3 linked regions of the Saccharomyces cerevisiae S288C genome follow. The gene in region 2 interacts genetically with the main gene of each other region. Each region holds a gene or a part of one and is shown on either strand. Other genes may lie near its edges.

The links.
Region 1: mutations in SRC1 (region 2) and THP2 together harm fitness more than expected from each alone (negative genetic interaction), as found in Saccharomyces cerevisiae (5 studies listed by BioGRID).
Region 3: mutations in SRC1 (region 2) and SAC3 together harm fitness more than expected from each alone (negative genetic interaction), as found in Saccharomyces cerevisiae (5 studies listed by BioGRID, with this or other methods).

The regions. Positions count from the first base shown.
Region 1 is NC_001140.6:437,776-440,627, forward strand, and holds THP2 (Thp2p), read left to right. Parts: upstream 1-1,566; coding exon 1,567-2,352; downstream 2,353-2,852. Other genes in the region: anaphase promoting complex subunit CDC23, read right to left, coding at 1-1,275; putative GTPase MTG2, read left to right, coding at 2,602-2,852. UniProt on the Saccharomyces cerevisiae protein: Component the THO subcomplex of the TREX complex, which operates in coupling transcription elongation to mRNA export. The THO complex is recruited to transcribed genes and moves along the gene with the elongating polymerase during transcription.
Region 2 is NC_001145.3:207,315-211,275, reverse strand, and holds the start of SRC1 (Src1p), read right to left. Parts: upstream 1,752-3,961; coding exon 1-1,751. Other genes in the region: AMD1 (AMP deaminase), read left to right, coding at 2,416-3,961. UniProt on the Saccharomyces cerevisiae protein: Plays a role in sister chromatid separation.
Region 3 is NC_001136.10:770,026-773,625, forward strand, and holds the start of SAC3 (Sac3p), read left to right. Parts: upstream 1-1,851; coding exon 1,852-3,600. Other genes in the region: YDR157W (uncharacterized protein), read left to right, coding at 1-307; HOM2 (aspartate-semialdehyde dehydrogenase), read left to right, coding at 332-1,429.

The sequences.
Region 1 (2,852 bases), on a different chromosome or scaffold from region 2:
AGTTAGTGCTCGACGGAAATACATGATAGATTTTTCATGTTCCTGTCGGGCACTGTAATAGTTCGCTATGATACAACATGTTTCCGGTCTAAATCTATCTATTTGGGAGACGAATTGCGCCAAATAGGCTAATTTTGAATTCTTCTGCATGACGTATAGAATATTGGAGTAGGTTTCCAAATCGTTGAGACGGTACGGATCTTGTTTAACGATGTCATCAAATCGGCTTTCTGCGGTAACATAATCCAAATTGTTGTAACTAATAGTAGCATTGTAAGCCTTTAAAAAAGTGAAATTGGGGAAAACTTGTAACAAAAACTCTAAATCTTCAAAGTAGTCCTCTAACTGGCCATTAAGCTCCTCAAACACTTTTAGCTTGAAAAATTTGATCATTATATTAAATTCTATCGTTCGTTGACTACCAAGATTTTCAGAAAATTTGAATTGGAAATTTTGATATAGATAATTATTTAAAAGCAATGCATCGTCAACCTTTTGTAAACAGTCCATTAACTCCAGCCAGCAGGACCAGTTAAAGGAGTAGCAACTCAGAGATTTCAAGAATGACGACATTGCCTTAGAAATATTCTTCTCTTGCTTTAAGATGACCCCTCGTAAATAATACAACAGTGCTAACCCTAAATCGGCCTCATCATCGTCTATCTTTATTTCATAAGACTCCAGAAATGTGTTAATTTCCTTCAAAATAGATGATATGTTCGATTGTGACTCATGCTCATTGCTGACCATTTTTAAATTGGCGCGTTGGTGCCCACTTTGATTTATATCCTCATTCCCACTACCATCCCCATCTTTGTTAGCTCTGTACATTTCGTCCGTAAACTTCCCTGTAGTTAAGATATTTTCCATACTTTCCTGGCTTTTCTTATCCCACGATAGAAATTTACTGTATAATTTTAAGAACTTAAGGTATGGATTAGTGACATCTTTTAGAAAAAAAACGCATCGATCAAACTCTTTAGCATCAAACAACGTAGAACCAAGGAGGTACAGGTCATACTCAGTCTCTGATAGGCCAAACCCGTTTTGTGGTATTTCAAACATCTGTTTCGGTACACCTTGTTTATTTCTTAGTGGCGATTCATCGGCTAAAGAGTGTGTTTGATCAACATCAATAGCTTCTGCAAGACCTGCTAGCGCCTCTGCTGCCCACTTTGAGGAGCCGTATAGCTTCCATCGTGATAATTCTGTGGCAGCCTTTCGTAGCTGAATACGTATATCATGTATTATTTTATCCTGGCTGTCGTCATTCATGGTTCTAAATGCTTCACAATCTGATTCTGATCAGTATATATCCAGATTTCAGTTTTCCGCTCGCTAATACTCCCTTCTTCCTCTTAATTTGATGTGAGTACCGCAGTACTTGGTCTGCTATTATGAAGTGTTTGTTTTACCCGAAGTGCTTTTTATGTACGCGCATTGAAAAATAATAGAAACTTGGTAAGTAGAATACTTAAGAAGCTGCAGAAGTGCAGTATCTTACAGTAAGAAACAACAGCGACTAGTTTATCAGGTTTACACTGCTCAAGTTATCAAGTTCATAGCATGACAAAGGAAGAAGGTCGTACGTATTTTGAATCTCTCTGCGAGGAGGAACAAAGTTTGCAGGAAAGCCAAACCCACTTATTAAATATTTTAGATATATTATCAGTATTGGCAGACCCTAGATCATCTGATGATCTGCTTACTGAATCCCTCAAGAAGTTGCCTGATTTACACAGGGAGCTGATAAATAGTTCCATCCGCCTGCGATACGATAAATATCAAACAAGAGAAGCACAGCTTTTGGAGGATACAAAAACTGGAAGGGACGTTGCAGCGGGAGTACAGAATCCTAAGAGTATTAGCGAGTACTATTCTACTTTCGAACATTTGAATAGGGATACTTTAAGGTACATAAATTTACTGAAGCGACTTTCTGTTGATTTAGCAAAGCAGGTGGAAGTGTCTGATCCATCAGTGACAGTGTATGAAATGGATAAATGGGTTCCATCTGAGAAACTTCAGGGTATTCTCGAGCAGTACTGTGCGCCTGATACTGATATACGTGGTGTAGACGCTCAAATCAAGAACTATCTAGATCAGATCAAAATGGCACGTGCCAAATTTGGTTTAGAGAATAAGTATTCCTTAAAGGAAAGACTCTCTACTTTGACAAAGGAACTAAACCATTGGCGAAAAGAATGGGACGATATAGAAATGCTTATGTTCGGTGATGATGCACATTCTATGAAAAAAATGATCCAGAAGATAGATTCATTAAAGTCTGAAATAAATGCTCCATCGGAAAGCTATCCTGTAGATAAAGAAGGTGACATAGTTTTAGAATAAGCACATTTTATTTAACCAGCCTGCACAAGTTAGATAGAGTTATACATACTTGTTGAGTGGGAGGGAAGAAAGAGAAAAATTGTATTATTTTTTAAAGAGCTTTTTAATATTTTATTTGTTCTATCTATTATTTTCACTTCCCCGAAATAGTACTGAAGGAAAAAACATGCTGGTTTATTTAGCGTTTAATAGGATGTGTACGTACTGAGAATATCATCAAGAATCAGTCCTCGGCCAGAGCATCTAGATATGTCGATAGCTTGGTCTAGCGTTTTCAAAAGAGAATTACGGCTTGAAAGATTTTTACCAAGAGTATATTCGACGAAAGTTCCTGATAATGCACCAAGAGCGGCTGACAATGAACAATGGCTAGAAACCCTAAGACCTATAACTCACCCAGAACAGAAAAAGTCCGACCATGATGTCAGTTACACAAGACACATTAATGTTCCTCTGGGCGAAGTCACTTCTGTCAACTATCTACAACGGTATAATAAGCA
Region 2 (3,961 bases):
ATTTGTGCATTTTTGGCTCTCAGAAACTCTAAAGATTTTTCAACCACTTCGGAAACTAACTGCTGTTTTTTGTCGTCTTTAACACATTTGCCTTGTGCAGGAATAATTTCCAAAAAGTCAAGTCTAGATGGTGCTAACTTGTAATCTGGCTTACATTTAAGTTTCAAATAAGGATAACAAATACCATTGGGTGGACAAGGGATACATTTCGGTCTGTAGTCCTGCAACAAATTATCCAGTTTTTGAATAAACTCGAAGGAATTGCCACTAACTCGATGGGATGGTACTTCATGCCCACAGTAACCTATGAGCAGTCTTTGCTCTCTATACCAGAGGCCAAATAAGAGAGGAATAACAATGAATATGCAAAATAAAAATAGCGCCAGTAATGATTTGCTCAAAAATTTGAGTGCTCTTTTGAACTTATGCCTGTTCCCGACCTTCCCAGATCCTTGCTTAACATCAAATTCACTCCCATTTTCATGCTCTAATTGCTCATTTACTTCCTCTTGAAGTTCTTGCACTCTTGCTTCACACTTTTCGACGTCTTTCTCTGTGGGTAATTGGGGAGTCTCGATCCTTGTAGGCACTAAAACTTCATCTTCATCCGATACCAAGTTACTACTATCTGTATCTATCATTTCGACCACATTATTGCTGGTATTACCCATAGGCTGATGAGGACCTGGCGTGGTGATCTCTGGAAGCAAGGGTGCTTCCGACTCTGAGCCAGAGCCTTCGGACGAAAACAAAGACGGTGTTCTTTCACTCTGAGAAGGTTCTTGCTGTTCCACTTCTGGAACCAGTATTGTAGATGGTACCTCCTTTTGAGGCAATTTATCCGCAAATGAGGCAGAAACTTTTAACTTACTCAAGGGTGTGCTATGGCCTGTTCCATTGGCAGTTCCGAGCTCTTTTGGATTGTGTCGTATGTTCGGTACAAATGGATCATTTTCCGTACCGCTTGAAGTCAACGAATCGTTAAAATTATCCATGCTTACTGGCTTTCTATTTGTGTTCTTTATTGGTGTTTTGACGGAAAGTTTTCCTAAAATGGCAGAGCCATTTCCATGCTCTTGGTTCAAATCACTCGTCTTACGCTTTTTTGCCTTCTGGTAATCCTGTTCAATTTCTGAATCTGATGATAGGAGGTTCAAATGCTTATTATCGATTTTATTTTCCTTTGAATTAGATTCAGACCAGTCGTCAGAATCAGGGTCTTTCCTTTTCTTACGAGTATCGGAATTTTGCTGGAAATCATTGGTGTCTGATTTGTTGGAGCTTGATGTTATCACATCATCCTCTTCATCGTCCACTTCATCGGTATCCGTTCCACTAGGTACAATTAAAGGATCGTCTTTTTTATCATTGTCATCATCATCATCATCATCATCATCATCATCATTACTTACATCATCCAGTATTCTATTCTTCTTAAACTGTTTGGCCATGGGGGAAGCAGATTTCTCCCTGCGAGCTCGTCTACTTCTACGAGGGGAAGCTATAGATGGGGAAGATGAGGGACGGTCCATTTTCACAATACCTTCATCGCTGGGCCGAACGTTCAGATACATTTTCCGTAACTGCGGGATCTGCGGTTTAACCTTTTCATCGAACAGCCCCACCAGCGCATTTTTCCTAGCATTAGATGGGAAATCGACATTATTTTCTACCAATATCCTCCTCAAAGTCGCAACTTTCATTGAATTCGGATCAAAACCGTCCTCTAAATACTCCAAGTCACTATTCATCGCGGCACTAACTGAGTACTGCTACCGTTCTACTGTTTGTTGTTCTGGCCTCTACGTTCACTCCGTATGGTCTCAGTCTACTATTAATAATGACTGAGGACTATTTCTCTTCCATGTATTCCGCATAGTATATTGACAGCTATACAAGTAGATCGATGTCCAGATTAGCCACCACAAATTGAAACCAAAACAAAAACAAAGGGGGCTTCCTAAAACAGTAATTTTGAGGGCTCTTTAAAACCCTTGATTTCCGTTCAGGGTGATCAATATATATATCCTAGTTATTTTATAGATGCCCTAACTTTATTTTTAGGGCACGTGGGGGTCTTCTCTTTTCTTTTTTCATTCCTTTTTCATCTTTTTTTTGCGCCTGGCGATGATGAGAAAGGAGTTCTAGTAGCACAAGGTTTAAAGGATATTATCAAAAAATAGATAAATTTTAAAAAAAAAAAAAAGGCATCTCTTGACGACTTTTCTTCTCTCTCTCTACAGGCAGAATTAGCAGCGTTTCTCGTATACTAGTCAATTATCGGATATTAATAGTATTTTTATTATAGTCTCCCTGCTATAGCCAATTTTGATTCAGCAAAACTCGATTGAACTGCTAGTACGCCAGATTAATAAATTATATAACAAATAAAAAGGGGGCATTCTAAAAAAAATTATGGACAATCAGGCTACACAGAGGCTTAACGACCTTTCTCTAGAACCAGCTCCTTCACACGATGAACAAGATGGTTCAGGACTAGTCATTGACATAGATCAAAGAAAGATTGGTGATGAACAAGCTGGTGTCGTAGTGGATGATGAGACACCCCCCTTAGAGCAGCAAGATTCACACGAAAGTTTAGCTGCTGATTCTCGGAATGCTAATTTCTCGTATCACGAGAATCAGCAGTTGTTGGAAAATGGCACCAAACAGTTGGCCCTAGATGAGCATGATTCTCACTCTGCCATCTTGGAGCAACCATCGCATTCTACCAATTGTAGCTCTTCCAACATAGCAGCGATGAATAAGGGCCATGACTCGGCAGACCATGCATCTCAAAATTCCGGGGGTAAACCGAGGACCTTGTCTGCTAGTGCTCAGCATATCTTGCCAGAGACGCTCAAGTCATTTGCCGGCGCTCCGGTAGTGAATAAGCAGGTACGTACCTCTGCCTCCTATAAAATGGGAATGTTGGCTGATGATGCTTCACAGCAGTTTCTTGATGATCCCTCTTCCGAGTTGATTGACTTGTATTCCAAAGTGGCAGAGTGTAGAAATTTGAGAGCCAAATATCAGACCATATCTGTGCAAAACGATGATCAAAACCCAAAAAATAAGCCAGGCTGGGTAGTCTATCCACCACCACCTAAACCTTCATACAACTCAGACACTAAGACTGTTGTGCCAGTAACAAACAAGCCGGATGCGGAAGTTTTCGATTTTACGAAATGTGAAATTCCTGGTGAGGATCCAGATTGGGAATTTACCCTCAACGATGACGACTCGTACGTGGTACACAGATCAGGTAAGACGGATGAGTTAATTGCTCAAATCCCTACCCTTCGTGACTACTATCTGGATCTAGAAAAAATGATTTCCATCTCATCAGACGGTCCCGCTAAATCATTTGCTTATAGAAGGCTGCAATACCTAGAAGCACGCTGGAATCTTTACTATCTCTTGAACGAATATCAAGAAACTAGCGTTTCCAAAAGAAACCCACACAGGGATTTTTATAATGTTAGGAAAGTGGACACTCACGTTCACCATTCTGCTTGTATGAACCAAAAGCACTTATTACGTTTCATTAAACACAAATTGAGACATTCCAAAGATGAAAAGGTTATTTTCAGGGACGGGAAACTACTAACTTTAGACGAAGTATTCCGTTCTTTGCATTTGACTGGATATGATTTATCCATCGATACTTTAGATATGCATGCACATAAGGATACATTCCACAGATTCGATAAATTCAACTTAAAATATAACCCTATCGGTGAATCTCGTCTCAGAGAAATTTTTTTGAAGACAAACAACTACATCAAGGGTACCTACTTGGCTGACATTACCAAACAAGTCATATTCGATTTAGAGAATTCAAAATACCAAAACTGTGAGTATAGAATTTCTGTTTATGGCAGGTCTCTCGATGAATGGGATAAACTAGCTAGCTGGGTGATTGACAACAAAGTTATTTCCCATAATGTTCGTTGGTTAG
Region 3 (3,600 bases), on a different chromosome or scaffold from region 2:
AGTTAGAATTCTGACATCTGAACGTCTTCAGTGCTTTTTTTTCTCTTTCTTTCCAGATCCAAATATCACCGGCAGCGGCCTCAAAGTACCCGGTTTTCTTTTTTTTCACACTTTTTTTTTTTCCAAATCATGTTGTCAAGCATTGATTGACTCATTTTCCTCTGACTACTACCAGTTCAAAATGTTAGAGAAAAATAGAAAAGCAGAAAAAATAAATAAAAGAACCATATTTATTTGTTCATTCACTTTCGAGTATAAAATTAAATCTTGTTTTTCTTGTTTTCACTTAAGTACACATACAAATTAAATTGTAGAAATAAAGCGTTCTAAAATGGCTGGAAAGAAAATTGCTGGTGTTTTGGGTGCTACTGGTTCCGTTGGTCAACGTTTCATTCTGTTGTTGGCAAATCACCCTCATTTCGAACTGAAAGTTCTTGGTGCCTCTTCTAGATCAGCTGGCAAGAAATACGTTGACGCTGTGAACTGGAAGCAAACCGATTTGCTACCGGAATCTGCTACCGATATTATTGTTTCCGAATGTAAATCTGAATTCTTTAAAGAGTGTGACATCGTCTTTTCCGGATTGGATGCTGACTATGCTGGCGCTATCGAAAAGGAATTCATGGAAGCTGGTATCGCCATTGTTTCCAATGCCAAGAATTATAGAAGAGAACAAGATGTGCCATTGATTGTTCCTGTTGTCAATCCTGAGCATTTGGATATTGTAGCTCAAAAGCTTGACACCGCCAAGGCTCAAGGTAAGCCAAGACCAGGGTTCATTATCTGTATTTCCAATTGTTCCACTGCAGGTTTGGTTGCACCATTGAAGCCTTTGATTGAAAAATTCGGTCCTATTGATGCTTTGACCACTACTACTTTGCAAGCAATCTCAGGTGCTGGTTTCTCCCCAGGTGTACCAGGTATTGATATTCTAGACAATATTATTCCATACATTGGTGGTGAAGAAGACAAGATGGAATGGGAGACCAAGAAAATCTTGGCTCCATTAGCAGAAGACAAGACACACGTCAAACTATTGACTCCAGAAGAAATCAAAGTCTCTGCTCAATGTAACAGAGTCGCTGTTTCCGATGGGCACACCGAATGTATCTCTTTGAGGTTCAAGAACAGACCTGCTCCATCCGTCGAGCAAGTCAAGACATGCCTAAAAGAATACGTCTGCGATGCCTACAAATTAGGCTGTCATTCTGCTCCAAAGCAAACTATTCATGTTTTGGAACAACCAGACAGACCTCAACCAAGGTTGGACAGGAACAGAGACAGCGGTTACGGTGTTTCCGTTGGTAGAATCAGAGAAGACCCATTGTTAGATTTCAAAATGGTTGTCCTTTCCCACAACACCATTATTGGTGCCGCTGGTTCTGGTGTCTTGATTGCCGAAATCTTACTAGCAAGAAACTTGATTTAAGGAAAAATTGCAAAGTTATGTCTTCATCTTACTTTTTTTTCGAACGAACAAAAAATACAAAACAAGTAAATAAGTATATGTGTATGAATATACGTATAATAATTTGAAACGTAGATCTTTATTATTAGTTTCTTGAGTTTCGAGAATTCGTGATTCAATGTTCATTATTTTTTCTTTTCTTTTCTTTTCAATAGTATAATACCAAGCCTTTATTATTTTTCTTCCACTTCAAGAAAAGGTAATTCTCTCGCTGACCCAAGAAAAAAGCTAAACAGAGAGCGTAGTGATGCATACAAACAACTCATTTACATGGGAAAAAAAAGGAGAGAGGAAAGCAGCAGACATATCTCAAAGCTGGGATACACTCACAATAGCACTGTTGGTACTCATTTCAGGTAATACTCTTGGAAGGTATCCCTTAAATGAACACATCATTTGGCTCAGTAGTGCCTTCCACTAATTTCAATTTTTTCAAAGGGCATGGAAATAATGATAACACTAGTGCCAATAGTACTGTTAACAACAGCAATTTCTTTTTAAATAGCAATGAAACGAAACCTTCGAAAAATGTCTTCATGGTGCACTCTACCTCTCAAAAGAAGTCGCAGCAACCGTTACAAAATCTCTCACACTCACCTTCCTACACGGAAAATAAACCAGATAAAAAGAAAAAATATATGATAAACGATGCCAAGACCATTCAACTTGTAGGTCCACTGATTTCCTCTCCTGATAATTTGGGATTTCAGAAGAGATCGCACAAAGCAAGAGAATTACCAAGGTTTTTGATTAATCAAGAACCTCAATTGGAGAAAAGAGCTTTTGTACAAGATCCCTGGGACAAGGCTAATCAAGAAAAAATGATCTCATTGGAAGAATCCATAGATGATCTCAATGAATTGTATGAAACACTAAAAAAAATGAGAAATACTGAGCGATCGATAATGGAAGAAAAAGGGCTAGTGGATAAAGCTGACTCAGCAAAGGATCTTTACGATGCTATAGTATTTCAAGGTACCTGTTTAGATATGTGTCCCACATTCGAGAGATCAAGAAGAAACGTTGAATATACTGTGTATTCATATGAAAAAAATCAACCAAATGATAAAAAAGCTTCTCGAACTAAAGCATTGAAGGTCTTCGCGAGGCCAGCAGCAGCAGCAGCTCCTCCTTTACCTTCTGATGTTAGGCCACCCCATATTTTAGTCAAGACATTGGACTATATTGTAGATAACTTATTAACAACATTGCCTGAAAGCGAAGGATTCTTATGGGATAGGATGAGATCCATAAGGCAGGACTTTACATATCAGAACTATTCAGGACCTGAGGCGGTAGATTGTAATGAGCGTATTGTTAGGATACATCTTCTGATCTTGCATATCATGGTGAAATCAAATGTGGAATTTTCGCTTCAACAAGAACTAGAACAATTGCATAAATCCCTTATCACGTTATCAGAAATATACGATGACGTTCGTTCCAGCGGCGGAACATGCCCAAATGAGGCTGAATTTCGAGCTTATGCTCTCCTGAGTAAAATAAGAGACCCTCAATACGATGAGAATATCCAAAGATTACCAAAACATATTTTCCAAGATAAATTAGTTCAAATGGCTTTATGTTTCAGAAGGGTTATATCTAACTCAGCTTATACTGAACGCGGGTTTGTTAAAACTGAGAATTGTTTAAACTTCTACGCAAGGTTTTTCCAGTTAATGCAATCACCCAGCTTGCCATTATTAATGGGATTTTTTTTGCAAATGCATCTGACGGATATTAGATTTTATGCGCTAAGAGCTTTATCACATACTTTAAACAAAAAGCATAAACCAATACCATTTATTTATTTGGAAAATATGTTACTCTTTAATAATCGGCAAGAAATAATTGAATTTTGTAATTATTACTCAATTGAAATCATAAATGGGGATGCAGCCGATTTGAAAACATTGCAACATTATTCTCACAAATTGTCAGAAACACAACCTTTAAAAAAAACATACCTTACCTGCTTAGAAAGGAGATTACAGAAAACTACTTACAAGGGTTTAATTAATGGCGGTGAAGATAATTTGGCTTCTTCGGTTTATGTGAAGGACCCAAAAAAGGATAGAATACCTTCTATCGCAGACCAATCTTTTTTAATGGAAAATTTTCAAAACAACTAT